7 linked regions of the Macaca mulatta genome follow. The protein of the gene in region 6 binds, or shares a complex with, the protein of the main gene of each other region. Links are inferred from orthologs where the notes say so. Each region holds a gene or a part of one and is shown on either strand. Other genes may lie near its edges. The genes, in order: DRC1, DRC7, IQCD, IQCG, FBXL13, TCTE1 and DRC12.

The links.
Region 1: TCTE1 (region 6) and DRC1 share a complex: the UniProt entries of both Homo sapiens proteins name them as parts of the nexin-dynein regulatory complex. The link is inferred for Macaca mulatta from reciprocal best matches to the Homo sapiens genes DRC5 and DRC1.
Region 2: TCTE1 (region 6) and DRC7 share a complex: the UniProt entries of both Homo sapiens proteins name them as parts of the nexin-dynein regulatory complex. The link is inferred for Macaca mulatta from reciprocal best matches to the Homo sapiens genes DRC5 and DRC7.
Region 3: TCTE1 (region 6) and IQCD share a complex: the UniProt entries of both Homo sapiens proteins name them as parts of the nexin-dynein regulatory complex. The link is inferred for Macaca mulatta from reciprocal best matches to the Homo sapiens genes DRC5 and DRC10.
Region 4: TCTE1 (region 6) and IQCG share a complex: the UniProt entries of both Homo sapiens proteins name them as parts of the nexin-dynein regulatory complex. The link is inferred for Macaca mulatta from reciprocal best matches to the Homo sapiens genes DRC5 and DRC9.
Region 5: TCTE1 (region 6) and FBXL13 share a complex: the UniProt entries of both Homo sapiens proteins name them as parts of the nexin-dynein regulatory complex. The link is inferred for Macaca mulatta from reciprocal best matches to the Homo sapiens genes DRC5 and FBXL13.
Region 7: TCTE1 (region 6) and DRC12 share a complex: the UniProt entries of both Homo sapiens proteins name them as parts of the nexin-dynein regulatory complex. The link is inferred for Macaca mulatta from reciprocal best matches to the Homo sapiens genes DRC5 and DRC12.

What each region holds. Positions count from the first base shown.
Region 1 is NC_133418.1:98,567,275-98,571,238, forward strand, and holds part of DRC1 (dynein regulatory complex protein 1), read right to left. Parts: intron 2,122-3,964; coding exon 1,982-2,121; intron 1-1,981. UniProt on the Homo sapiens protein: Component of the nexin-dynein regulatory complex (N-DRC) a key regulator of ciliary/flagellar motility which maintains the alignment and integrity of the distal axoneme and regulates microtubule sliding in motile axonemes.
Region 2 is NC_133425.1:53,304,369-53,308,758, forward strand, and holds the start of DRC7 (dynein regulatory complex subunit 7), read left to right. Parts: upstream 1-1,420; 5' UTR 1,421-1,487; intron 1,488-3,077; 5' UTR 3,078-3,207; intron 3,208-4,390. UniProt on the Homo sapiens protein: Component of the nexin-dynein regulatory complex (N-DRC) a key regulator of ciliary/flagellar motility which maintains the alignment and integrity of the distal axoneme and regulates microtubule sliding in motile axonemes.
Region 3 is NC_133416.1:120,444,493-120,448,456, forward strand, and holds part of IQCD (dynein regulatory complex protein 10), read right to left. Parts: intron 1,147-3,964; coding exon 913-1,146; intron 1-912. UniProt on the Homo sapiens protein: Component of the nexin-dynein regulatory complex (N-DRC), a key regulator of ciliary/flagellar motility which maintains the alignment and integrity of the distal axoneme and regulates microtubule sliding in motile axonemes.
Region 4 is NC_133407.1:975,332-979,743, forward strand, and holds the start of IQCG (dynein regulatory complex protein 9), read left to right. Parts: upstream 1-1,543; 5' UTR 1,544-1,799; intron 1,800-1,924; 5' UTR 1,925-2,091; intron 2,092-4,412. Other genes in the region: LMLN (leishmanolysin-like peptidase), read right to left, coding at 1,205-1,423. UniProt on the Homo sapiens protein: Component of the nexin-dynein regulatory complex (N-DRC), a key regulator of ciliary/flagellar motility which maintains the alignment and integrity of the distal axoneme and regulates microtubule sliding in motile axonemes.
Region 5 is NC_133408.1:142,726,108-142,730,071, reverse strand, and holds part of FBXL13 (F-box and leucine-rich repeat protein 13), read left to right. Parts: intron 1-1,776; coding exon 1,777-1,944; intron 1,945-3,964. UniProt on the Homo sapiens protein: Substrate-recognition component of the SCF (SKP1-CUL1-F-box protein)-type E3 ubiquitin ligase complex.
Region 6 is NC_133409.1:137,835,295-137,839,228, reverse strand, and holds the end of TCTE1 (dynein regulatory complex subunit 5), read right to left. Parts: intron 2,330-3,934; coding exon 2,120-2,329; 3' UTR 712-2,119; downstream 1-711. UniProt on the Homo sapiens protein: Component of the nexin-dynein regulatory complex (N-DRC) a key regulator of ciliary/flagellar motility which maintains the alignment and integrity of the distal axoneme and regulates microtubule sliding in motile axonemes.
Region 7 is NC_133419.1:119,879,196-119,883,302, reverse strand, and holds the end of DRC12 (dynein regulatory complex protein 12), read left to right. Parts: intron 1-325; coding exon of another isoform or gene 326-411; coding exon 412-504; intron 505-2,736; exon of another isoform or gene 2,737-2,804; coding exon 2,805-2,935; intron 2,936-3,188; coding exon of another isoform or gene 3,189-3,193; coding exon 3,194-3,340; 3' UTR 3,341-3,386; downstream 3,387-4,107. UniProt on the Homo sapiens protein: Component of the nexin-dynein regulatory complex (N-DRC), a key regulator of ciliary/flagellar motility which maintains the alignment and integrity of the distal axoneme and regulates microtubule sliding in motile axonemes.

The sequences.
Region 1 (3,964 bases), on a different chromosome or scaffold from region 6:
AAGGAAAAGCAGAACCACCAAAGGAAACAAATAAATTAAGAAAGAAGGGCAAATATTTTAGGGTCACTTAAACCGAAGAAGAAAACCCAGTATCCAATCATAATAGGATGAGGCCTGAGGAGAAGTCACTACGTTTGGCTAGAAGGGCATCATTGGTATCCTACTTTGGGAAGTTTTTGTACAATCCTGGGGTCATAGGTTGCTATGGCTTGAATGTAACTCCTCCAAAATTCAGTGTTGTCAATGTGATAATATTAAGAGGTGGGGCCTTTAAGAGGTAATGAGGCCATGAGGGCTCCCCCGTCATGAATGGGATTATGGGATTAAGGCCCTTATAAAACAGGCCTCCCAAAGCCTTAGGCCAGCTTGCTCTCCCATTCTTCTGCTGAGTGAGGACACAGCGTCCCTCCCCTCTGAAAGATACAGCCCTCACTAGAAACTGAACCTGCCAGCCTTGATCTTGGCCTTCCCAGGCTCCAGAACTGTGAGAAATAAACTCGTCTTTGTAAATTATCCAGTCTCAGGTAGTCTGTTATAGCAGCACAAACAGATATGTCAAATTATGAAATGTTGGGTGGTGATGAGGAGGAAAGGAAAATGGCAATGAAAGCAAGAAATGAAAAGATGGTGCTTAGAAATGGCAGGGTCCGTTGAAGGGTTTTTCAGGCTGAGGGAAAGATGTCTGAGTTTGAAATAAGAGGGAAGATTCCACTCATCTCTCAGCCACACGCATCAAACCCAAGCTCTGCCTCAAGCGCCTCCTCCCGCCTCCCACCTTACCCGTTCTCTACACCCACTGTGGGACTTCCTGAATCCTACCTCCTTGCCTTCAGACCAGCCATTCCCAGCTGCCAGCACTGTCCACCTGGAGTCTCCTCTTAACTGCCTTTTGCCAGTTCATGTCCCCACCCCCTCCAGTATTTCACTTCTTTGGGAAGTTTTCCCAGGTGCCTCCTCACTGTCTTGATGTGTGTCTTTCTTGGATGTTCCCCTATCTAGTATGGGGCTTATATAGTGGGAATTTTTTCATAAATATTGTCCCCTGACTATTCTTGTTTCTCAGATAATCAGGCTTAAGATGCCATCCCATTTATTCAGTATCATTTTCTGTGATAAGTAACTACCAAAATGTCAACTGATGTTCGTCTATACATTCAACATGTGTCCAAAATGTACGTATTACCAACCCACAAGTGGAAGAATTCATAAATAATAATAGGCTATTTGGGGTTTGGAGGGAAATCCTCAATCTTGTCTCCTTCTACAAGCAAGAAATCTTATTCCACTCTGGTCCTCAGAGCCTAACACAGTGGTCTGAAACTTAGAATGCAATTCCTAAAGGAAGAAAGGCAGGAAGGATGGGACTAAGGAGACAAGGAAGAAGGGAAGATGTGTGAGAAATTTCAAGCAATAGGTACCTTTCAATGAGCCATGGTATCTCCACAAAAGCAAACTGGCACATGTCATGAGTACTTAGGTTGGTATTATTTGCAAGGGAAAAAGGCTGGAAGCAATCTACATGTCCATCATTAGACACTGGTCAAATAAATCATAGTGTATCTATACAGTGGGTCGTAGCAGCTTAACAAACGGTAAAAGCTCTCTATGAACTGGGATGGAAAGGTCTTCAAGATACACGGCAGTGTGTACAGACTGCCATCATTTGCGTAAAAGCAGATGGGGGATGAGAATATTTGTGTGGGCTTGTATATGCCTAATGAAATTCTGGAAGAGACAAACTGGTTATAGAGGTGGGAAAGAGGAACAAGATGAATGGGGATGGAAAATCTTTTGCTATGTTCTCTTTTCTTGGGGAGAGAAGGGGAACCACTTGAATGTATTAACTTCTCCAAAAAACTATTTTAATAAGTGTTGGTTATATTTTTAATGGTTTCTACCCCTTCAATAGAAAAAAGTACATATCCATCCCTATTCTCAGCACAGAGAGCCCAGAAGAAAGACGCTCTGCATGCTAGCTTACCGATTGATCTTCCTCTTCTGCTGGGATTTAATCACTGTGCTTTCTTCATCTCTCTTCTTCAGCACCTGCAAGTTGTACTCTAATTTCTCTTGGTTTAGTTGATAAATTGCTTTCCTCTGCTGAAGCTGCTGCTCAAGAATCTAAAATTTTAAAAAAACTATATATATATCTATGTATATGTGTATATATATACACACACACACACACACTAACTCTACACCTGCATCCTTAGTATTATATACACTAGCGTATTTAAAATGTCTTTTGGGGAACATGCTTTGTATAGGTAAATATTTACATAGATATACTTACATAGTCCTGCTTATGTATGTTTATTTACCTAACTATGCATCTCCATATTCAGATGTATTTATCTTTGTACCTACATTCATAAAGAATAAAGAGGTAAAAGTATTGGTAGAAGTTTATACTGGAAGTATACAAAAATAAACTTTCCTACATTTATAAGCTTATCTGCCCTGTGAATTATACCTAAAATTGTACACAAATAAAGGTATGCTCTGAAATACAAATATATATATATTTTCACACACTAGTTGGCCCTAGCTTGTAGGCTTCTGATAAATTGTTCAAGTCATGTCAGAGGAACCTTAGGGACAAGTGCCTCAGCCTGCATTCTTAGAAAATCTATCATGAGAGTCAAGTTAAAGGTCAACCAGATAAAATACAAGTCAATGAACTGTAAACTAAAATCTGTATACCTAACGCCTAAGAAAGATCACAGAGCTTTCAAGTCCAACTAACTCCGGTAACTTTCTCCAGACCCTTCAGAAATATGAGTAGCCCCGCTAAAAACACCATAGAAATAAATACGGCCACAAAAACTTGAAATTTCCCCCACTTTGACCTTCCAGGGTGGAAGTGTTAGTGTTTAGCAACCCAGGTTCATTTAAAAGGACAGACACAGTCATCCTTACTTTTTGGATTTCCATTAGCTGTATTCATTCATTCAGCAAATACTTATTGTGTGCCTAATCTGTGTGAGATACTTTTTGAGGTGCCGTTGCGAAAACACCAGTGAGAAAGGCATAGTCCTGACCCGTCTAGAACAGAGGCAGATAAACAAACGCTAGGGATAAGAGGCAAGATAGAGGGAAGCCCAGACCATTATGGGACCAATGACAAGAGCACTGTCCTTGGTCTTGAGGGACCAGGGAAATCATCCCTGGAAGATGGTGTGTCTAGCTGAGACCTAGAGAATGTGCTGGAGTTACACAGGTGACACCGGAAGGGAGAGCACTCTAGAGAGAGGAAATAGCATATATGAGGCTTTGGGAAAACCACAAGAAGTTTAGGATGTGAGGCACGAGGCAAGGAATGGTCAGAAATGAGGCTGACAGAGCAGCAGAGCCTTCCCAAGCTAGGAATTTAAAGCATTATCCTGAAGTCAAGGGAGGACCACTAAAAATGTTAAGCAGGGAAGGAAAATGGTTGGTCCAGTCACTGTAGAAAGATCACCCTGACAGTTTGTGAAAAAAAGATCAGAGAGAGGCAAGGCTGGAGGCTGGCATGCTCCTGCCTCTCCCGAGTGAAATGCAGGAATGGGGAAGGCAATCAAGTGGAATCAGAAACTCGATAAAACTGCCACGTGCGTGCTGTCTCCAGCCTCTGTCCCGTCTCCCTCTGTTAGGCTACAGACTCTGGCCCAGGAGTCAACAGAGGAAGTGATTCCAAGCAGCTATCACAGCCCACTCTGGGTCATACTCCAGGAGGGCTCCTGGCTAGGAGGTGACGCTCCATTGGGTCAGGAAGCACATCATTTCCATGGTTGCTGTGGAATCCGGTGATTCCCACACACATTGTCATGGGGGAATTAGTCAAGAATATTCTACATCACCACCGCAGGGATTTTTAAATCTCCATTATGAGATGAGTATTTGAATGTCTCCTTCAGAACAGAAGCCTGTAATATCTTTTAACAGATGGTGAATGAAGAACCATATGAGTCCCTGAGATCATAAC
Region 2 (4,390 bases), on a different chromosome or scaffold from region 6:
AGCTCCCTCTAGAACACTTGGACACCGAATGCCCGTCACTGGAAGGACAAAGAGGTAATAAGTGTGGATCCACACAGTAACATGGAGAGATCTTAAAAACACAGCCCTTCATGAAAATATAAGAACCAGAAGGATATATTCATTCAGTCTCATATTAAACATATATTTAAAATACCAGCATGCAAAATAATACTCATTTTGGAAAAAAAAAATACGCATCAGAACTCTTGCCTTATAGAGATGGGAAATGAAAGTGGGTATGGAGAGAAAAAGGAATGAATAAATATGTAAAAGGAATAAAATATTGCATGGGGTTGAAAAAAGAAAATGAAGCCTATGCTGCATCCCACCAGCATAACACATCACCTGTTTTCCTTTCTCCTCCCTCCTCACTTCCCTCCCTCATCCCAGCCAGTTCCCCACAGAGGTAATTATGAGTTGCTTAGCCCCAAGTCTGAAATACACACACCCTCTGGTGAGCTCTCCACAGCGCAATTGATCCTTTACAGCTTATTTTTATGGCTGCATGATATTCAAACCGGGAGGGGGAAAATCATTCTCTATTCATGAGAACTGAGGCAATTCCTAAGTTTTTAGCGGTAACACTAACTGTGCAACCTTGTCAGCACAGTGACAGTCTGGATTCCCTCCTGGCAGCCCTATCCCCTAACCAAAAAAGGCCTGGGCACCCCTCCCTCCAAAAATAAAACAGTAAAGATTATATTTTAGAACTATATTAGTACAAACATAAATATAATTCAGGGCAGATTCATAGTTATATAGTCATTATTATTCTTATTTTTTTCTTCTGAATTTAAAAGAAATTAAACATTTTCACGAGCCACTAGCCTAATGGATAGGTTTTCCCCGTACTTCGAAGTAATGTTCTACATCAGAGCCCCGGCCTGGACTAGAACCCAGGACTCAGTCAAGGCAACGTGGCTCTGTCCACCACAGCTGGCAGCTACTCCAGGCCCCACACTGGTTTCTGTCTGTCTGGATCACGGCCACATTCGGCATGCCGTGTGGCAGGGGCTGCGGTGTGCTGGTAGATGTTTAACAACTGGCTTGCTCAGGGGAAAAGCCCTGGTCTTGGCATTTGCTAATTTTTGTGGTGTAAATAACCCCATGGCCTTTTTTTTTTTTTTTAAGAGAAGGTCTCACTATATATTGCCCTGGCTGATTTTGAACTCCTGGGCTCAAAGGATTCTCCTGCCTCGGCTTCCCAAAGTGCTGGGATTACAAGTATGAGCCACCGTGCCCAGCCCTTTTAATTTTTAATAATGGCTGTGTTTCACAACCATTTTGAAAAGGTTAACAACTAGCACGTTGATGCCCCGCTATACCAGCGCACCGCTGGCCCAAGGACCCATGCAACCTGGGAAGACTACATTTCCCAGAAGCCTCCTCTCCCAGGACCGGCCTTCAGCGTCCCAGGCTGTTACCATGGAGACGGCTAACTGCTAGCGCAGGCTGTCCTCGGAGGGGTGAGGAGGGAGCAAGGGACTTGGGGTGGTTGGACCCTGTCTGGCAGGGAGAGGGCGAGGCTGGTGGCCTCCTTCTGCCTGGGGGCCTCCAGCCCTGATCTTTCTGGGGAAGTTGTTGGGGTGTGTGTGTGTGTGTGTGTTCATGTGTGTTGGGAGGAGGAAGTTGCTGGTGGAAAGGGGGTACAGGAAAGGGCCTGTGGGTTGGGGCCCAATCTAGGGAACCTTGAGACAAGACTGCCTTCCCCACACTGGGCTATAGCTGAAGAGGCCACCTGTGTAGGGAATAAAGTGCTGTGGGTTCTTCTCCCCAGCTCTGCCTCTGATGGTGTTCTGGGACTGACACATTGGCTTTCTCTTCATCCTACTTCTTTCCTTGCCCACCACTCCCCCACCATCCCTTCTAGCACTTCCCCATCTCACATCTCTTCTAGCCTGAGATGCACAGGTTTCACAACCAGAAATACTTGGGCTCAAATCCCAGACCTGCTACTTACTAGCTGTGACCTTAAGCAGTGCACTCAACCTCTCTGGGCCCCAGTCTTCTCATCTGCAAAGCGGGTGTCCTAAGTGTCTGCCTCACAGAGTCAGTAGAGGATAAGTGAGATGATCTCCGTACAACCCTAAGCACAGGGCCTGGCACACAGTAGGCGTTCAGCAAACTGTAAGTGCCTTGTAATGGTGATGACTGCCCTCCCTGTGCTCATTCTCTCTGGGACCAAGAGGCCGATAAATGGATCTGATGACTGGGAAGTGCTGCTTGGCTAGAGGTTCTCCCCTGAGGATCTGGGGTCCTGAATGCTGTTGGCCCACCTGGGCTTGGGTGGGCTCCAGCCAGATGAGCATTCATCCCCTCCTGAGTCCCAGAACACAGAATGTCAGAATTGGACAGAAAATATCTGCCCTCCCTTCCTATTGTAAAGAGAAACTGAGGCACAGAAAGGCGCAGACAGTGACCCAAGGGTCCAGCAGGAGCTATTGGCAAAGCCAGGATTTCCCCAACCGGGCTCAGTCCTGGCTGGTGGCCAGTGACTCACCTCCCTAAGAGGCCGAGGCGGCCCGCGTGGGTGTGGTGTGGGGAATGGGGCCAGCCTTTATCTGCTGCTCCCTTCTGCCCTCTTGTTCCTGGCTTCACCCAGGGAAGTGGGGGATGATTACAAAGTCGAGGGGATTCTGCTTTTTTCTCCTCACTACTCGCGCCCTTTGTCCTGTGGGTTTCCTTTGTTTTCCTCCTCTCTGGACCCCTGTTTACTATAAGGAAAACAGATGTTGGAGGAGAGAAATAGAAAGACCCCAGCTGGGAGGCTGGATCAGCTGGGGTGGCGTTGGGCGGTGTGGATCAGGGACCCCCATAGAGGCTGACATTTCTTATATAAGGAAAGGCTGGAGGTGGCACTCCAGTCCTCTGTGGCACCACAGCTCCCCGGTCTCTTGGCCCTGCCATCCTTAGCAGGCTACTTTAGCCCTCATGTGTGGTCACCTCATGGTCTCACCTGGGCTGCCCCACCTCCCACTTTATCTCCACATTCCAGGTGGGAGGAGGAGAAGGGCAGAGGGTGCCCCGATAACTTCTGCCCACATCTCATTGGCCAGAACCAGGTCACATCACAGGGCCACCTCTAGCTACAAGAGGATCTGGGAAGCTGAGCAATTCAAACCAGGCACACTGCTGACCCCACACAACTGGGGTTCTGCCGTATAGAAGAGGAGACTGGATCTTTGGGTAGGTGACTAGCAGTACCCGCTCAGTGAGGCTCTGCTCTGTGGTCGCAGGACATATGGTGAACACATGTGGCGTCTCTGCGTGGATCACAGAATGAAGCCTGTTCTCTGGGCCGACACAGGCCTTGGCCAAGAGAGAGCAGGCTCTGTTACCCCACCCCCCACTTCCTGTTTGTGTGCCCTGGTGCACGCACCTTCACTCTCTGTGCCTTGGTTCCCAATTTGGTCAGGTGAGATATCATTCACCTGCTGTCTTCATTTTTGGGTGGGTTGTAGTCCATATTACCTTACTGTTAGGATTTTCTTTAAACCAATTTATTTATTCATGTATTTATTTATTTATTATTTATCTGAGATGGAGTCTCACTCTGTTGCCCAGGCTAGAGTGCGGTGGTGTGATCTCGACTTATTGCAACCTCCGCCTCCCAGGTTCAAGTGATTCTCCTGCCTCAGACTCCTGAATAGCTGGGATTACAGGTGTGCACCACCATGCCTGGCTAATTTTTTGTATTTTTAGTAGAGATGGGGTTTCGCCATATTGGCCAGGCTGGTCTCGAACTCCTGACCTCAAGTGATCCACCTGCCTCAGCCTCCCAAAGTGCTGGGACTACAGGCATGAGCCACCGCACACAGCCAATTCATTTATTTAAATAGGAAATGTGACAATACTATAGTAGTACCCACAGCATTAGCAGTACTTGTCATTGATAACTGTCAGCTGGCACAATGGCTCATGCCGGTAATCCCAGCACTTTGGGAGGCCAAAGCAGGAAGATCACTTGAGGCCAGGAGTTTAAGCCTGGGCAACATAGCCAGACCCTGTCTCTACCAAAAAAAAAAAAAAAATAGCCAGGTGTGGTGGTGCGTGCCTGTGGTCTCAGCTACTGGGGAGGCTGAGGTGGGAGGATTGCTTGAGCCTGGGGGTTTGAAGCTGCAGTGAGCCATGTTTGCGCTACTGCACTCCAAGCCTGGGTGACAGAGTGAGACCTTGTCTCAAAAACATAAAAAATTTAAAAAAGGATAACTGTCAAATATACTTAAAGCAAATTGACATGTGTCCTGCCCTGTCCTGTCCTGATGATGGCTTCCAGCCGGAGGCCTGCTTTGTCTTTGTTGTAAAGGAATATTTGCCAGGATTAGAAAGGTGTTACAGATGGGGTAGCACCAAACAGAGACCTTCTCCA
Region 3 (3,964 bases), on a different chromosome or scaffold from region 6:
CTGGGTCTTGGCTGAGATGATGAAGGAGAAGGCAAATGAAGGTTTTGGGTTTTTTTAAGAGACAAGGTTTCACTCTCTTGCCCTGGCTGGAATGCAGTGGCGCAGTCATGATTCACTGCAGCCTCCAAACTCCTGGGCTAAAGTGATCCTCCTGCCTCAGCCTCCCAAGTAGCTGGGACACACATCACAGCGCCTGACTTATTTATCTTTTATTCTTTGTACAGACAGGGTCTTGCCGTTGCCCAGGCTGGAGTGCAGTGTGTGATCACAGCTCACTGCAGCCTCCGCCTCCTGGGTTCAAGTGATCCTCCCACCTCAGCCTCCCAAAGTGTTGGGATTACAGGCATGAGCCACCTTACCCGGCCAGAAATGATATTTATTGAACACCTACTATGCACCAGCTCTCTCACCACCATCTCATGTAATTCTCGTGTAACAACCATTAAGACCAATGTTAGCATTTTCATTTCCAAGGTGTGAAATCGGCAGCTGGGCAGGAGTTGAGTAATTTGCCTGAGCTTCATGTGCTACTTCTTCATTCCTTTGCATGGCACCCAGCCTCTGAAGATGTGGGTATTATCCCTGTGAGGTCTGAGGAGTTGAGGAACTTGCCCAAGGTCACAAAGCTGGCATGTAGCAATGCTGGGACAGGGTCCCAGTTTCTCTATCCCCCATCCCCAGGCCTGTGTGTTGCCCCTTCCTGCCTCCCAGGAGACATTGGCTCGGATTTGGGCCTTCCCTGCTCCTGTGTCCTTCCCCTCCACCACGCCACTTCCTGAGTAGCTGGTGCAGCCCTGCCCTGCCCAACACTGCTGGACCTCCAGGAGTGATGGGACAGTCCCACCCATCCCCCGCCCCAGGGGCCCCACCGGCCCATCCTCCCTGCTTCCCGCTTCCCACTTCCCGGGGCACCTTCCTCAGCGCCTGCTCCGCCTCCCGGTTCTCCATGACCAGGTTGTAAAACTGTGACTGCAGCTGCAGGATCTCCTGCTGGATCTTGGCTACCCTGGCCTGTGATGCCCGGAAATCGGCTTTCTGCTGCTTCTCGGCCTCCTGCTTAGTGCGAAGGAGGCTGTTCTCTGAGAACTTGAGCACCTGGTGCAAGTGGTTTTTCAGTTCTTGGATCACAAAGTTCTCCTTTTCCACCTGAGCCAGGAAGAGAAAGGGCTCTGTTAACACCTCCATGCCCAGCCGGGCACAGTGGCTCACGCCTGTAATCCCAACACTTTGGGAGGTTGAGGCAGGTGGATGACCTGAGGTCAGTAGTTTGAGACCAGCCTGGCCAACATGATGAAATCCCATCTCTTCTAAAAATACAAAAATTAGCCGGGCATGGTGGTGCATGCCTGTAATCCCAGCTGCTCGAGAGGCTGAGGCAGGAGAATCGCTTGAACACGGGAAGTGGAGGTTGCAGTGAGCAGAGATATCACACCACTGCACTGTAACTTGGGTGACAGAGTGAGACTCCGTCTCAAGAAAAACCGTCCATACCAACTGACAGTCACCAGAGGCTGGCACCACTGCATCCTCCCTCGGGGCCAGGCATGCCACCTGGGTTATTATCTCTCTAATCACACCCCCAACTCCGCAGTGGAGGTCAGGGACAGCCTGATTACAGACAAGAAAGCTGAGGCTCAAGGAGGTGGCTTCATCTGTCTGGGGTTGCCCAGCTCAATGGGGTCCTGAAGCCAGGTTTGTCTGACCTCGAGCCCACGTTCTTGGCCACCACTTTCTATTTCCTTGCACAAATGAAGGGTACAAGCTTGTTGGATTGAGGCCACCGGGGAGGACCGGGACAGCAGTGATCCTCCTCCTGGGGACACAGGAGGGGAGGCCCAGCTGGCAGAGACACTTGGTGGGGTGCATGAAGGTGTGCGATGAACACAGGCTGCAGGGATCACCACCAGGCTCTCTCCTGAGGGCCTATGCCTGGCTTGTCCCCTGCCTTGGGTGGATTCTCGAACAGGAATGGGGGTGGAGGATGAGACAGTTTTGTAAAGAAGCCCTCAAGGCTTCTCATATACACTAGAGTCTCCCTCTGAGCACAGTGGTGCTATGGCTGCTCACGTCACCATCTTGGGCTTGGGTCAGCTGGCAGCAGGCCTGCCGGGCATCTGCTCACCTCCTGCACACTGGGGGCAGGAAGGCAGCGCCTTTGGGGCAAGCCCATCCTGCAGGCAAGGCTTGAGGCACCAGGAGCTCGGAATATGATCAGCAGTCAGAGCTCTCCTTGTAGACTCCCCACACGTGCCTGATTGGTGTCTCCCCTCATTGTACACTGAGGTTCAATGACATGAAATTTGTCCACCTGGCAAAAATGGCATTTGACCCCAGGTCGGTCCAAGGTGAAGCCCCAAGCTGGTTCTAGCACCTGAATGAGACCAGCAGGGCCACCTGTGTCCCTCTGCCTATTCCTAGATGATGCCCCTTCCACCTTACAAGTAACCTCACTGCCCGAGGGCCCAGCAGCCCGTGCTCTGTCCACTCAGCAAGTATACATCATGCCCCTCCTTTGGACAGGCTTACTAGGGACACAGTGGCAGGCTGAAAGAGACAAGGTCCCCTTTTCTTGTGGAGGAGCCAAACCTCTCAAGACCACACATATCACACACAGATATGTTATCCACAAAGTTGGGTGAATGTTACCAACAAAGTCAGATGAATGCTTTAAAGGACAAATTCAATGAGAAGTGCCCAACCCAGCACCAGGGAGGAGGGTAGTGAATAGTTTCCCAGGACCTTGAACCTCTCATCAGTGGTGGGGGATAGAAACAGAAGGGCCTGTGACAGTGCAGCCTGGCTACCGCCCATGTCTGTTCTCCCCAGAAAGGCTGTGGGGTAGAATGTGGAACATAACACGGCCCGGTGACAGGTGGTGGGTCCTTCCTAGCACCTCTCTCTGCTGGGTGTGGCTACAAGATGTGCATGGAAGTTCTGTGTGCCACCTCCACATGTGTCCTTAAGGGGCAGAACCAAGCCCTCTCCTCCCCTTTCCTCCTTCCTGTTGGCTGGACCGGGGGCCACATGATGGGGAAAGCTGGAGCAGCCATCTTGGCCCACAGGCAGAAGTCCTACGTGGGGTCAGCAGGAAAGTCACATTGAAGAAGCCAGATCTCTGACAACTTGGGGAGCAGAGATGCCACACCAGCTCCGGTATTTCCACTACAAAGAAATATATTGCCGTCTTAACTAAGCCAAAGCTATTTTGGGTGTCTCTGTTATAGCAGCCAAATCTGTACTCACACATCATCTCACAGGATTTTTGTAAAGATTTAGAGAGAAAATGTATGTAAAACAAATACACTGTATGTGTCCAATATGACAATTATTATTAGGTTTGGGATCATGCTACCGTTTCTTTTTTTTTTTTTTTTTTTGAGATAGGGTCTTGCTCCGTAGCCCAGGCTGGAGTACAGTGGTGCGATCTCAGCTCCCTGCAATCTCTGCCTTCTGGGCTCAAGTGATCCTCCCACGTCAGCCTCCTGAGTAGCTGGGACTACAGGTGTGCACCACCACACCCAGCTAATTTTGTCTTTTATGTGGAGACGGGGTTTCACCATGTTGCCCAGGCTGGTCTCGAACTCCTGAGCTAAAGTGATCCACCTGCCTTGGCCTCCCAAAGTGTTGGGATTACAGGCGTGAGCCACCACACTCCCATTTCCCTTCTTAAAAATTCTTCTAGCTGGTGTGATACGCCTATAATCCTAGCTACTCAGGAGGCTGAGGCTGGAGGATCCCTTGAAGCTAGGAGTTCAAGACCAGCCTGGGTAACAGAGTAAGACCCCATTTCTTTCCTTTCTTTTCTTCTCACCCTTTCTTTCCTTTCCTTTCTTTCTTTCTTTTAATTGAGACAGAGTCTCACTCTGTCACACAGGCTGGAATGTGATGGCACGATCTTGGCTCGCTGCAACCTCCACTTCCTGGGTTCAAGTGATTCTCCTGCCTCAGCCTCCCAAGTAGCTGA
Region 4 (4,412 bases), on a different chromosome or scaffold from region 6:
GTACTTACATACTCTATGAGGAACCAGGGAAACGTATTAGGGACCAGGACTCTTTCTCTTATTTTAATCCAAATTAAAAGAGAGAAGTGCAGGGTTCTGTGGGAAACTTTTTTTAAAAGAATTGAGCCAAAATGCAGTGTCATGATAAAAGCTGCAAAAAAGCTATAAACTCCGAAGTTAATATTTTGGCTCACTTGGTTATGAAGAGTATGCATGTAACATTTTGGGAAATTACCATAAAAATGAGTGTCTTTAGATTTCTGGACTGAACTGAACGTGTATGTATCAGCATGCAGCCCTGCCCCCAGGTACTCTCCCTCCTTTTCTCAAGGAATATGGATTATCGTGGACCCACCTCTGACCTAAATACTGTGAAGGAATCAAAGTATGAAACACAAACCTCATCCCACGGAACCTTACAATTTAACTGCAAAGGCAAGATACGCCTAAAAAAAATAAGCCATTACCACATAGCAGTACTTGGTTAAATGCTAGGAGGGAGTACAGATACGATGTACTTTTTAATGAAAAGAACATTCCGCTGTGGGAGTTTCGGCAGGCTGCCTTGAGGTTGGGGAACTTGAAATGAGACAAAGTATTTAAGCAGGGAGAAAAATGGGACGGGAGGCCGGCAGGCACTTCCAGAGCAGAGGAATCGGGTAAAGCAAACAGAGTGACGACACAACGTGAAAAGAAACCTGAAGTTTGTCTCCAGTGAGCCCCCAACATCCCCCCAACGCCTCTGTCTGGCTCTCCGTTCAGTATCTTCCCGAAACTTCAGGTCAGCGGTTCCTAAAGTGGTCCCCGGACAAGCATACATCACCAACCAGCTGGGAACGTAAACTGTCAATCTGGGGACTCATCCCAGACCCACTGAGTCACTAAGTGGGGGACTGGGGGCGGCAATCTGTGTTGGACCGTGTGCGTCGGGTGACTGTGATGCACGCTCAAGTTTGAAAAGCACTCCTCCAGGGCTACTGCTAAGCACAACCCTCCGCACCGAAGTGATACTGTTCTGAGCGCCTAACAGCCAACTTGCAGGGTGTAGGGAGCTGAGAGCGGGTCCCAGGCCTGTAAGAGTTCAGGCTCTGCCCCGATTTCGCTTTCTCATCCAGGACACCTTCTCCCAGTCACTACCTCCTACGCCTGCTCCTTCTGGACGACTTTACCCTGACAGGGCCCGCTCCCGCCCCTGTCGCCCTACCTCAGTGTCAGAGGGGACGTGGTGCCGGCAGGGAGGGGAACTGCCCAAGGAGACGGGAGTAGATGTGGCGCTGGCCCGGAGCCCGCCCAACAGGAGTAAAACGCTTCGGACCCACATAGACCCGCTCCAGCGCCACCGGCTCCGGCCCGGGCCTGAGCCTGAGTAACCCGCTCCTCCTCCCCACTCGGCCGCCATCTTCGGGCCGAGCGTCGTTACCATGGAGCGCGTGACGCCTCTGCGCCCGCGCCGGCCCCGCCCCTCGCCGCTCGGGGCAGACGGAGGCCCCCGCCGGCGGAAAGGTGCTTTCCGATTGGACAGCGTCACCCGCTGGAAGTTCGCGGCAGAAGATGAGGGCGGCGATCACGTCCATCGCGTCTCGTTGCGCGAGGCCGGCCAATAAATGCCGTTTGGAGGCCCACGTGAGTGGGGCTGTGGGAGGAAGAAGGGCGCGCGGGCGTTGGCCGTGTGTGGGTGTCTGAGGCAGTTTTCCAGTTCTTTCGTTTACCAAAGTGATATGCACCTACTAGGTGCCAGGTGTTTGGACGGACATTCAACCCTCTGCAGAATCTTTCAGTGTAGTCCTCTGTAGGAAAAGGTGAGTGGAATACTTTCATTTACTTATCCTGAGTCACCAACTTTAGGCGCTTTACTTGACTAAAGCCATTTCCTGTAAAAATCAATGATACACACTTTACTATTTTACTCAACTCCATCTTTTAGTTTCCAACCAAGAATTGCCACTGCACCTGAGATAAGGGAGATCCTGGGAGCCGTGAGGAACTACACAAAATGGGAAATTGGGACAAATTCCAGTGGCTCATGACACTAAGAAGTAAAAGTACGAACTCAGACACTGAGCTGGAAGTCATGCAACGGGAATTGAATAGGTAAACTACTATACTGGGAAATGAAGGGGTAGGAAAGAAGGAAAACTTCAAGTTACAGACTGGGTGGAGATTACGGACTCAGATATGAGGATGGGGTGGTGTCTTAAGTATTACCATTTTACAAGTGAATAGTCACTAAATAATGTGTGTATCATCCCACAACTAGTGGAAGGTGGGATTCCAAACCACATTTGTAACTTAGGAAACGTGCCCTTTCCATTACAGTACCACAAATAAACTGCTGTTGTGAATAAAGAGTGGAACCAGTCATCCTAAGCTCCTGGCTGTTACAATAGTGTTACGCTGAGGAAAGGCTGTTTCTTTTTTTTTATTTTTGAGACTGACTTTCACTTGTCGCCCAGGCTGGAGTGCAGTGGCGCAATCTCGGCTCACTGCAACCTCTGCTTCCCGGGTTCAAGCGATTCTCCTGCCTCCGCCTCCCGAGTAGCCGGGATTACAGGCGCCCGCCACCACTCCCGACTTTTTGTGTTTTTAGTAGAGACGTAGTTTCACCACGTTGGCCAGGCTGGTCTCAACTTCATGACCTCAGGTGATCCGCCCGCCTCCGCCTCCCAAAGTGTTTGGGATTACAGCCATGAGCCAAAGCTGTTTCAATGGCATAGTGAACAAAATACCAGCCACGCAAGCCCTTTCCTGTAAACCACGGGACTTTGGCAACGGTGACTTAAGTACTTTTGACTTAATTTCGGTATGGGAGCAGAAAAAATTATAAATTTATTATTTACAAATGCTGCATCATCTCGGTAAGGAAGAGCATGTATTTGCTCGAGTCTCATTTGCCATTGCACATATAAGTTACTCGAGTTACCCTAAAGTCTCAACCTTTTGTTTTCCCCGCTTTGCTCAGATGCCTACCACTTACTGTGTAAGCACCTCCATTCCTTTCATCTATTCTACTCAGAATACCATTCACTTCTCCATATGCCTAAACCAGACCTGAAATACCCATCAGTCTTCATGGATATGTCGATTAACATCTTACCGCCTCCTCAAATTCAACTTTTGCTCCTCCCACAAAACCATCCCCTGGTTCCCCAGCTTTGCAAATGCACCATTACCCATCCAGCCCCCATAGCCAGAAACATGTTAGAACGTTAGCCATTTGAGACTGAAAAGCCCACCTGATTTTCCCTTGTTTATACTGGGCTGCCACTGGGATGTAAAATGTTAATCTGAGCTGGACATGGTGGCTCACACCTGTAATCCCAGTACTTTAGGAGAACAAGGCAGGGGGATCACTTGAGGCCAGGAATTAAGAGACCAGCCTGGGACCCCGAAAAAAAAATTTAATTAACTGGATGTGGGTGGCATGCACATGTAGTCCCAGATTCTCTGGAGGTTGTGGGCAGAGGATTGCCTGAGCCCAGAAGTTCAAGGGTGCAGTGAACTATGATCACACCACTGCAGGCTGGGCAACAGAAACCCTGTCTCAAATGAGTAAATTTTAAAATTTCCTGTGAATCAAGTTCTTCAGTGACATTGTTACTACACACAAGAACAATCTTAAGATCCTCAGTACAAGAGACGTCTTATGTGGCATTTCTGAGTTTTCTGGACTTTCCAGTCAGCTACTTGTATTCCTAAAATCTTCCTGCCATTTCCTGAGATGCCTCCGTATTTCTTCTACACTTTATAGTTTTATGTTATGTCAGGATACCCACATGCCTCTATCCCTAAATACCCCAAGAGTACTGATCACATCTATTTAACTGGCACAATGAACACAATAGGTACTTTTAGCTTATATTGGCCTTTTGGAGTGGGTGTCCAAGATCAGCACTTCCTCCCGCTGACTGCGTAATTCCCAAGTTCAATTTCATCAGCATTCTAATATACAACTTCCAACTTTTGACCATGAAAAAGTATGGCTTACTTCTGGTGAATACAGCATCAATGCACTTTGTTTGCCTTAAAACCACAATCCTAATAAATGAGCCTGGCAGAGCATTAATAATAAAAGCCCCTGTCCATGAAACATGGGACTCCAACAATGGCAACTTTGGCCTACATTCCACCATTGGACTGACCGAACCTTTCTTACGACTGCCGATGTGACAGAGGGACCTCTGGGAGAGGACTTCTTGTTTTCTCTTGCGTCAGTATATCTCATTACTCTCTTAGTAGGTTAGCAGATTTGTAACAGGATGGTTACTAGAGGAAGGGGAAGCGGAAAAGCTGGGACAGTATTCCTACTCTTTTCCCTTACTACATTTTCCTTCTCAGTCCTGCCTCCAGGAGATGAAAGACCAAATAACACAACAGCCAATGTGCTCTTCCCACGCAGTCCTTTCTTTCACCCT
Region 5 (3,964 bases), on a different chromosome or scaffold from region 6:
CACTGCGTCTGGCTGGGATTCTTGTTCTTTAACTTAATAATTTAAAATTTACTTCAGCTATTAGTATATCATTTCTTAATATTGGTTTAGTATGTTCAAAGTAACACTATGATCAGACATAGAAACATGCTGGATTTTTTTTCTGTAGTTACATTATTTAGTAGGAGATATTTTATTAATATTCTTTGAAATACAAAGTAAGGGTAAATAGGAAAGAGAATGTGGGGTGAAGTTAAATTCCCTTCTTTTGTGGTTGCCCCATGGATCAATGCCCCCACTCGCCTGAATTTGGTTCAGATGTTGAGACCAACAATAGCACACACGCAGCAAAAGAGTATGAGGAGATTTATTACTTATGTATGCTTAAGACAGTGCTAGAGCCTGTGCTGAGTTTTAAGCATCTCAGAGGTTACTTGAGATGCTCTCCAGAAGTTTATAATGTGTAGGTTTTGAGCTGATGGTCTTGTATGCTGTCCTGTAGGCTTTGCCTTTTGCACACTACCTTTTCAGTGTTACCAGTGAAACAGCTGTACTTTGGGTACCTAACACTATATTAGTCTGCTCATTCAGTGCTTTCCACCACTCTGTATTATTAAGCTAGTGTTTTGATCACTGCCCTCTATGCCTGATCACTGATTGTCTAATAGTGAAATAGGTAACAGTACATGACCAGTCCACCCCTGTACACCTGCTTCAGCTAAACATCCCTGAACATAAAAATTAGCCAGGCATGGTGGCAGGCCCGTGTAATCCCAGCTACTTGGGAGGCTGAGTCAGGAGAATCTCTTGAACCCTGGAGGTGGTGGAGGTTGCAGTGAGCCGAGATCACGCCACTGCACTCCAGCCTGGGCAACAAAAGCGAAACTCCTTCTCAAAAAACGAATAAACCGAAAATCCCTGAGAGCAGGCAGTGTTGTTCTCTTAGTAGTCTCTGAATGCTGAGCATGATGTTTTGCACACAGTTGATATATATTAATATATATAATGTATATTGTATATACTATAATATTGTTAAGATATATGTGTATTATATAGTTAATTGTGTGTTTAGAGAACATTTTTTCTAGATACATGATTTATTGACCTAACAATCATTCTACATTCCCTTAAATGGAGTGAGGCTGGCAGGGGTATGCTGGGAGCAGAGGCAGGGAACACCTGTGTGTCAAGCGCTCCACATGTGTTCTTCCTCAGGCTCTAATATGTGTGTGTATATACACACACACACATACATACACACATATATATTACATTAATATATATTACCCCAATATTGTGTGTATATGTTTATGACTGAAATACTTACTACCTTTGTTTATTACACAGTTTTCAGAAGTGTATCAAGAGTTAAAATGGGGACTTCCTGTGATGATAAATTTGGCAATTTCCCAAATACATTACTTCTGACTTCCCTTTTTTGTTATCCGTATGTTAATCACCTTCACTCCATGCACCAATTACCAGTTTTATCATTGCCAGAGCCTTGACTTTGTGGTCCTCACTTCCTCATCTGTGAAAGAGGGGACTAGATCAGCCTTTCAAGGTGGCTGCCTGTGCCAGTGTTTTATGACAACTAATGGAAATGATCTGTAATACTTTGGTGGTTCAGGGAACGTTAAACATGCTTATGAAAAATTATAGTTGTGTAGTAATGATGACAATCATAAATAATGTTTAATTTGTTCTATTCTTGTGTCAAGCACTGTGCTTTATGTCTGTCATCTCTCTTGATCGTTACAGCAATTGCATGGAATTTTAAAATTATTTTCATTGCAGATACTAAAACATGAACTTCAATTGAAAAAATGGAAAAATAGGTTAATACTCAAAAGAGCTACTGCAGAAGAATCCAATTTTCCTGAACAAAGTTCTTCTGAAGGCTCTCTTGTAGATGAGACTCTAAAATGTGACATTTCACTGTTACCTGAAAGAGCGATATTGCAGGTTTGTATGAATACACTATACATTATATACTATAATCTGCCAGGTGTGGTGGCATGTGCCTGTAATCCCAGCTACTTGGGAGGCTGGGACAGGAGAATTGCTTGAACCCAGGAGGCAGAGGTTGCAGTGAGCTGAGATGGTGCCATTGCACTCCAGCCTGGGCGACAATAGCAAAACTCAATCTCCAAAAAAAAAAAAAAAAATATATATATATATATATATATATATATATATATGTATACATATAATCCTACTGTTGATATATTGCATTCAGTTAGAATAAGGTTATTTTTGCCCATTATTTCTTCCTTTACAAATTACCTGTTCCTATCTTGTCTGTTTTTACATTGTAATTCCTATAATTTTCTTACTGGTTTGTAATAGCTCTTTATATTGGCAATATTAGCCCTTTGGAATATATTTGGAGATTTTTTCCCCTACACTTGATGTTTGCTTTCAGTTTTGCTTGTGGAGTCTTTTGGTGACAGAATTTTTTTTTTTTTTTTTTTTTTGAGATGAAGTTTCACTCTTGTTGCCCAGGCTGGAGTGCAATGGCGCAATCTTGGCTCACTGCAACCTCCGCCTCCTGGGTTCAAGCGATTCTCCTGCCTCAGCCTCCAGTGTAGCTGGGATTACAGGTGCCCACCACTACGCCCAGCTAAAATTTTTTCTATTTTTAGTAGAGATTGAGTTTCACCATATTGACCAGGCTGGTCTCGAACTTCTGACCTCAGGTGATCCACACACCTTGGCCTCCCAACGTGCTGGGATTACAGGCATGAACTACCACGCCCGGCTGATGACAGAAATGTTAAATCTTTGTGTAATAAAGTCTGTCATCCTTGCCCTAATTATTTCTCTCTCTGTCTCTTTTTAACTTTTATTTTAGGTTCAGGGAGTACACGGAAAGGTTTGTTATATGTAGGTAAATCGCGTGTCATAAGAGTTTGGTGTACAGATTTATTTTGTCTCCCAGGTTATAAGCCTGGTATTCAATAGATACTTTTCTGATCCTCACCATCCTCCCACTCTCTACCGTCAAGTAGATCCTGGTGTCTGTTCCTTTCTTTGTGTCCGTATGTACTCAGAAGTTTGGCTTCCACTTGTAAGTGAGAATGTGCAATATTTGGTTTTCTGTCCCTGTGTTAGTTTGCTTAGGATAATGGTCTCCAGCTCCATCCATGTTGCTGCAAAGGACATGATCTCATTCTTTTTTATGGCTGCATAGTATTTCAATGTATATATATATATACACACCACATTTAAAAAAATCCAGTCTACTGTTGATGGATATTTAGGTTGATTTCATATCTTTGCTATTGTGAAGAGTGCTGTGTTGTCCATATGCATGAATGTGTCTTTATGGTAGAATGATTTATATTCCTTTGGGCATATACCCAATAATGGGATTGTTGGGTTGAATGGCAATTGTGTTTTATGTTCTTTGAGAAATCACCAAACTGCTTTGCACAATGGCTGAGCTAATTTACATTCCCACCAGCAGTGTGTAAGCATTGCCTTTCTCTGTAACCTTGCCAGTATCTGTTATTTTCTGATTTTTTAATAATAGCCGTTCTAACTGGTGTGAGATTTACATTTCTCTAATGATTAGTGATGTTGAGCATTTTTTCATATGCTCATTGGTTGCGCACATGTCTTCTTTTGAGAAGTGTTTGTGTACTTTGCCCACTCTTTTAATGGTGTTGTTTTTTTCTTGTAAATTTAAGATCCTTATAGATTCTGGATATTAGACTTCGGTTGGTGTGTAGTTCACAAATTTTTTATCCCATTCTGTAGGTTGTCTGTTTATTCTGTTGATAGTTTCTTTTGCTGGTAGAAGCTCTTTTGTTTAATTAGGTCCCATTTGTTAATTTTTGTTTTTGTTGCAATTGCTTTTGGCATCTTCATTATGAAATTTTTGCCAAGTTCTATGTCCAGAATGGTATTTCCTAGGTTATCTTCCAGGGTTGTTATAGTTTTAAGTTTTACATTAAGTCTTGAATCTATATTGAGTTGATTT
Region 6 (3,934 bases):
TCACCCCTGATGCTGCTTACATTCGCCTGAGCCATCAGAACTCCTCCTTCCCCTCCTTCAGCCCCTGTCATCTTCCTCCAGCCCAGCCAGGCCTGCACCACCAACTGTGTGGCCTCCACCTATGCAACATCACCTCTGGCTCCCCTTCCCTTCTTCCTAGGGAGAGGGGCCCAAATTGTGGGGATACCATGGCCCATGGCTTCTAAAGGGTTTAGCTTTACTCTCAGGTAGAGATGGCTGAGTGAGGAGGGAGAAGAGACTAGAGAGAGAGAGGCTTGGGCAGGGGAAACGGCTGCCCACCAGGTTTCCCTGGCAGTAGTGCCCACCTGCCTATCAGCACTGAACCTGCCTGGATCCCGAGTCTGTGCTCCTTGGGGGCCTGGCATTTGGAGCACCCTTCTTTCCTCTGATGGACATCTGTGAGGTACAGGTGGTGAGCTGCGGCCTCAGGCTCCATTTCTTAGCCAGCTGGCACCCGGATGTCATGCTCTGTGTGGGGACAGCCTGGCCACCTCAGGGCTCCAGGGGAGGAGGAACATGGCTCCTCCTCCCTCAGGCCTGTTCCTGAGACAGAGCCTGGTCTCAGAAGAGGGGAAGGGGGGACCTCTATTATTATTTTTGCCTGTATTGACCATTTCTGCCTAGGTCGTCTCAGACAGCCTCATCTCCCACACACGCACAGACTTAGAGAGAAACCAATTCTTTGGTCTATTTTCTTGGTAGCTTTATTGATTGCCAGGGAAAACAAAAACCAGAAAATTAATCTCTAAAATTAAACTTTACACTGAATGTTCTTGTTTCTCTAATTAGAACCTCTGCTAGCAGCTGTGGCTATACACACACACACCCTCACACCTACACGTTTGCACTCTGGAACTGTCAGAGGGTGTCAGGCACACAGACTCTAGGTTGCCTAGACAGGCATACACATGCAGTCACTCCCAAGCCCCCTTTGGTGCTCTGCTTAGCGTCTGCTTAGTGGAAGGAGTCCCTGGAGAGCAGGCACTCCTGGATTGGGGTTGTAGCCCATGACCTGCCCTTTGGGGACACAGTTCTGGAGGCTCTGGGCCAATCAATCAGCCTGAGGAGGATGGGGAATGGCGCTCAGCCTGAATCAGTCAGCTAGGTCTCTTGTGGTCCTGGGGGCTGATGTGATTCCTGTAGGTGTGGCCCCAGGGTGGACAGCTACAGAGTGATGGGGACTCATGGAGGGCACCTAGAAGGCTCCATGTGGCCTGGGGACAAGGGCTTGTGGGGTGGGCTGGGCCTGGCTGGGGAGAAGACAGGTCTCTGTCAATTGGGTGCATCACACTGTGGCCTTTTTGTCGTGGATTTAAGCGCAAAGATTGTACAAATCAAACTGGTGGATAATAAAGTTGTGGATGACTCACTGACTTCCTGTCCCAGTGTGGCACTTCTTTCCCTCCCTCCCAGGGAAGCTCTCTGGGGTGGGTGGCAGGAATCGTGTCATCCTTCCCTGGAAGTCGTCATCTACAGCTGCCTCCCCAGAGGAGGCCACTGGGTCTGAGTCCCTGGTGTCATTTCGTTGTCCCCGTCCCAGGTTGGGGGTTGGGGAAATAGGGGATGGAGTGGCCTATAGAACTGGATCACCTAAAGCAGAGTCAAGCAACAGGGAAATGCATCTACAGGGCTGAGGGTGGCAAAGAGAGCCAGACATAGGTCTGCTGTAGCCAGAGCGTGCGCGCGTGTGTGTGTGTGTGCGTGCGTGTTTGAAGATCAAGGATCTGTTTGGTAGAGAAGAAAATGGTGGGGAGGGGAGTCAGGGAGGCAGGCAGCCCCCGTGGGAGAATCTGGCAGGCACAGTCCCTCACACACCTCTCTGACTTCCCTATTCCTGGAAGAAGTTGGTCATTTGTGGGGGTTCAGTAATATCCTTTCCCTGGGCACAGGGGCTGGGTTCCTACTGCATACCCTTTCTTCCCCCATGCCAGTCTCCCTTTCCTGCCTCATGTCTCCATCCATACAACCCTTGATCACTCCAAGGATATTCACGGTCCCCCTCCCTGCTCCCTCTGAACCAGAGTGATAGTCTGCAGCAGGCATGGCAGGGGTATGAAATGAGGGACAGGGCTGGGGCCATGATCCAAGTCAGGTCATTTTATCCCACAGAGTTCTCAGGGCCATTGGCAGTGATGGTTGACATGAAGTGGCTGGGATTCAAGGCCCGCTGGCGGGCTGCTTCTCGGTTTGCATAGAGGGCCTGGCCAATGAGGTACTCGCTTTCCTGGGCCACATCTGACAGGCGCAAGTCAAATTCCAGGAGGGTCTTGTTGTCCGACATGCCTTCCAGGAGCTGCTTCCCACCGTCCTGGGAGAAGGGTGCAAAGGAAGGGGTCATATACATCACTACCCAGGATCTGACATACATAACTACACATTTTCATGTAGATGTGACTAAAACATAAAGTTTCACAAAACAATACTTAACCTTTTTGTGACGCATGCTGACATATTCTATTCTTTTCCATTTGAAAAATGGTAGCCAATACCCACTAAATTGATTTCTCAACCCTACTAGCTTGAAAAACATGAATCTCTGGCAATGATGAGAATTCCATTCCTTTGGTTCAGCCATGGGCATGTGGGACAACTCTAATGAGATGCGAGGGGGAAGCTGAGAGGGGGTGGCTTCTGGGAAGGTTCTCCTCACTCCAAAAAGAGAAGAAAAGGGAGCAGGTGTTCTCCTGTTTTCTGCCTCTGGGCATGTCCCTATGTGAGATGTCAGAACTGTGGCAGCCATCTTGGGACCGAGAGAAGCACTAGAGAGGCCTTAGCCACGAGGCTGGGGTGGGCAGAGCAGAGGGTGGCACTGAACCCAGGGGTTTACCAACCCTACAACCCTCTAATTCTGGTTGTGGGAGACACTGAATATTCCTCCTGCTTAAGGCCATTTCTGGTTAAGCTTTTTATTACTTGCAGTCAACAGCACCCCCTCTAGAAAATGTGTGTGTGTGTCTGTGTGTGTGTGTGTATGTGTGTGTGTGTGCATGCACATGTGTGTATGTGCCTGTGTAGGTGAGCAAGGTTCTCATGGGGAGGTTTAGCAGAGGGTTCAGTGACCTAACGGAGGGCCCCGCTCAATGGTCATCACAGCTCCAACCCCTGCTGGGTTGGGTGGGCTAGCCCCAATGTGAAAGAATTTCATGTTGGGAGGCAGAATGCCACCATTCTGTGGTTGTGACCCAGCAGTGTGTTGCAAAGTCAATTTAATGGGTCACAGAAGCATTTAAAAATACAATAGAGTAGAATGTAAAGGAAAATATCAGCATATATCACGTCATAAATTTCAAAATTATGTTTATGTTGGTGTTCATGTAAATTGCATTTTTTTTTTTTTGAGATGGAGTCTTGCACTGTCACCCAAGCTGGAGTGCAGTGGCATGATCTTAGCTCACTGCAATCTCTGCCTCCTGGGTTCAAGCAGTTCTCCTACCTCAGCCTCCCGAGTAGCTGGGGTTACAGGTGCATGCCACCACACTGGGCTAATTGTTGTATTTTTAGTAGAGATGGGGTTTCACCATGTTGGCCAGGCTGGTCTCAAACTCCTGGCCTCATGTGATCTACCCACCTCAGCCTCCCAAAGGGTTGAGATTATACGCGTGAGCCACTGTGCCTGGTCATAAGTTGCATTTCTTACTCTTAGACTTGGTTAAGAAAGTTTGAGAGATACAGTCTATTAGAAAGGACTCAGGATTTCAATCAATCTTGGATTTGAACCACAGCCTTGCCACTTTCTACTGACTTGATGCCCTTGGGCAATTCATAATCCTCTCAGACTTAGTGTTCCATCTAGAAAGTAGGGTTAAATATACTTAGTTATATACTTAAATATATTTAGAGTTAAATACGCTTAGGGTTAATATACAGTTACTTAGGTAACTGTAAGGATTAAAGGAAAAATAATAATCACTGG
Region 7 (4,107 bases), on a different chromosome or scaffold from region 6:
TCCCAGCACTTTGGGAGGCCGAGGCGGGCGGATCACGAGGTCAGGAGATCGAGACCATCCTGGCTAACATGGTGAAACTCCGTCTCTACTAAAAATGCAAAAAATTAGCCGGGTGTGGTGGCAGGTGCCTGTAGTCCCAGCTACTCGGGAGACTGAGGCAGGAGAAGGGGGTGAACCCGGGAGTCGGAGCTTGCAGTGAGCCAAGATCGCACCACTGCACTCCAGCCTGGGCGACAGAGCGAGACCCCGTCTCAAAAAAAAAAAAAAAAAAAGAAAAAGAAGAACCAAGAAGGCCTTTGTGCTCCTGTTCCACTAGACCAAGTAGAGTCTTCCCCACCCACAACTTCATTTCCTTTCTCCATCGCTCCATCTCCGACCTGGGTCCCTGGCGGCCTACTGCCCCCACCCCAGAGATGAGTCGCCAGTGCCATGCCCTGCAGGAGGATATGCAATCCCGCAGCAAGCAGCTGGAGGAAGAAGTCAAGGGCCTTCGGGGGCAGCTAGGTAGGTTTCCCCACCCCCCAAGCCCCTTGTCTCCAAGAGTTGCAGCAAGGGCCAGCATGAAGGGGCAGACTTCAAAGTCTCTGCTCCAGAAAGCTGCCACCCGGGCTCTGGGATCACTTTCCCCACTTTCACTGACCCTCCACCATCGAGGACTGGAGCAGAGGGTTCGGGATGCCAAGAATCTCTGTTGTAAGTAAAGAAGAGGTGCCAGGCGCAGTGGCTCAGGCCTGTAATCCCAGCACTATGGGAGGCCAAGGCGGGCGGATCGCCTGAGGTCAGGAGTTCGAGAACAGCCTGGCCAAATGGCGAAACCCTGTCTCTACTAAAAATATAAAAATTAGCCAGATGTGGTGGCGCACACCTGTAATCCTAGCTACTCGGGAGGCTGAGGCAGGAGAATTGCTTGAATCCGGGAGGCAGAGGTTGCAGTGAGCCGAGATCGCGCCATTGCACTCCAGCCTGGGCGACAGAGCAACTCTGTCTCAAAAAAATAAATAAAAATAAAAAAGAAGAGGTAGGCGTCACACCCCATTTCCTCCTCTCCAAGTCCAGCCCTACCTAACTCCCCACCACTGCCATGTCTCTTGTGAGCAAAACATATTCCCTTTTAGTTTAGCTGATTTCTACAACGAAACTAAGGGAAAATGTTTGACTTATTTACTTACAAGACCTAGCACCCGGTAGGTCCTAAATAACTGTTCACTAAATAAATGAATAAACACTCCCAATAAGCAAAAATATTTTTAAAAACTAGGAAGCCATTGCTTCTCTTCTCTTGCCTCCTGCTTACAAAATAATGTTGAAATATCTCAGCATGACACATGAGCTCTTGCACAATTTTGGTCCCAAAGTGTTCATACCTTAAAAATGCCTTCAGCCGGGCTCAGTGGCTCACCCCTGTAATCCCAGCACTTTGGGAGGCCAAGGCGAGAGGATTGCTTGAGGCCAGGAGTTCGAGACCAGCCTGGCCAATATGGTGAAATGCCGTCTCTACTAAAATTACAAAAATTAGCCGGGCATGGTGGCATGTGCCTGTAATCTCAGATACTTGGGAAGCTGAGTCAGAAGAATCACTTGAATCCAGGACGCGGAGGCTGCAGTGAGCCGAGATCGCACCACTGCACTCCAGCCTGGGTGACAGAGTAAGACTCCGACCAAAAAAAAAAAAAAAAGCCTTTGGTTTAGCTATAGATGGCCAGGAGCTGCTTATCTGCCATTCAGACCCTGGGTTCCTTTCCTAATCTTTGCTTTACCTCAAATTCCAAGTCAATCAATAACTCAATTGTTTTTGTTGTTGTTGTTGTTTTTTGTTTTTGTTTTGTTTTGTTTTGTTTTTTTGAGACGCAGTTTCGTTCTGGTTGCTCAGGCTGGAGTGCAATGGCGCAATCTCGGCTGACAGCAACCTCTGCCTCCCAGATTCAAGCCATTCTCCTGCCTCAGCCTCCCGAGTAGCTGGGATTACAGATGTGTGCCACCATGCCTGGCTAATTTTTGTATTTTTAGTAGAGATGGGAGTTTCACCATGTTGGCCAGGACTCCTGATCTCAGGTAATCCGCCCTCCCCGGCCTCCCATAGTGCTAGGATTACAGGCGTGAGCCATCACACCCGGCCAATGAATCAATGTTTACGGAGCACTTCCTGTATACTAGCTAGGTGCTTTGTCATCCATCATCGTGTTTAAAGGTCACAGCATACCCCTGAGAGATGTGTCATTCTCTCTTTAAAGATGAAGACACCAGCTAGCTGCGGTGGCTCACGCCTGTAATCCCAGCACTCTGGGAGGCTGAGGTGGGCGGATCACGAGGTCAAGAGATAGGGACCATCCTGGCCAACATGGTGAAACCCTGTCTCTAATAAAAATTAAAAAATTAGCTGGGCGTGGTGGCATGTGCCTGTAGTCCCAGCTACTCAGGAGGCTGAGGCAAGAGAATTGCTTGAACCCAGGAGGCGGCGGTTGCAGTGAGCCGAGATCATGCCACTGCACTCCAGTCTGGTGACAGAGTGAGACTCCATCTAAATAAATAAATAATAAATAAAAAGATGAAGACACTGAGGCTCAGAAAGAGACATGTCTGTGGTCACCTAGGTAGTAATCCGACTTTGGAGCCTTCTGTCTCAAGCCCACCATTCTCTGCTACACCTCAGTGGAGCTTCAGCTTTTACAGGGACTGCAGGAAAGTTGGTGATGCTGGGGGAGTCTGGAATGAGCCCATTCAAGGTCTCCTTTCCAGATACCTTTGGAGACTGGTCAAGGATAGAGTGTCACCATCCTGCTGTCTTTCATCCTGCCTGCCCCCAGAGGCATGCCAAAAGGAAGCTGCGGCTGCCCGGGAAGAGGCTGAACAAGCTCTAAGAGAGCGGGACCAGGCCCTGTCTCAGCTTCGGACCCACGTGGCAGACATGGAGGCAAAGTATGAGGAAATCTTACAGGTAAGCACCACCTCCTGGATCCCAGTCATCCCAGTACCCAGGACTCCCCCATGCCCACAAACCCCAGCTAGTGTGATGACTGACAACCCAGGGGTAAGGAGAAGAAGTATCTCCAAGGGAGCCCCGCTCTATCCTGAGGGCAGAGAGGGGATACAACCATGTCTACTGGGCAAGGAAAGCTTACAAACCAACCTGGGGCAGCCCTCACTCCTTCCCTGTCTCTTCCTGGGGGCTGAAATATTGATGTCTGCAGGACAGTCTGGACAGGCTCTTGGCCAAGCTGAGAGCCATCAAGTCACAGTGGGATGGGACGGCATTGAGACTCCATGCCAGGCACAAGGAGCAGCTACGCCAGTTTGGACTCACCGCCCTGGATCTTTGAGGCCATCAGCCCCTAGTCTCTAGTGTTCTCTGAGGCGCCAGCAATAAAGTGTCTTGATGTAGAACTCAGTAGAGCTGTGGGCTCTGGCCTTTTGGCAGAGAGGAGTGGATCTTTTTTATTTTTATTTTTATTTAGTTTTCTTCTTTTGTTGTTTTTTTCTTTTGTTTTGTTTATTTTTAGGAGTGGCTCTCATGCAGACATCTCAGTTCTGGGTTGACCCATTATCCCTGAGACTCAGTGATAGGAAAGAAATTTGACCAGGTCTCACCTTTTCTCCTGCAGAAGCCGCATCCCACCCCTTGAGCCTGAGGCCCTTTTGGTCCCTTCACACCACTGCCCCTTACCCCCACCAACACAAACACAGGCAGTCAGATTTATGGGGAACGGCCACTTCTATAACAAATGCAACGGTGACCAAGCACCACCCTCCGGCAATGCTGAGGCACCCACAGAAGACAGGCATAGCTGGTCTCCACATTTTTGCATTACACTCAAGTGTCCTGGAGTCATATCTAGAAAAGGTCCAGATGGCTTCAATCCTAGCCAGACCCACAGCCACACCTTCATCCCTGGGACACAGCTCTCCAAACTCCCATATGACATCCTCTGGAGCCTCAGACTCCTTCAGGAACCTGCCTGAGGCCTCCATCCACACCCTCTGCTAGAAGGTGGGCCTGCAGGAAGTGGGGGAGCACCTGGGCCAGCCTGTGATCGGTGGTGCCTGAGTTCCTCCAGTCTGGCTTAGAGAGAGCAATCCTGCCTCCACCACCTCGGGCTGGAGAGTGAAGAC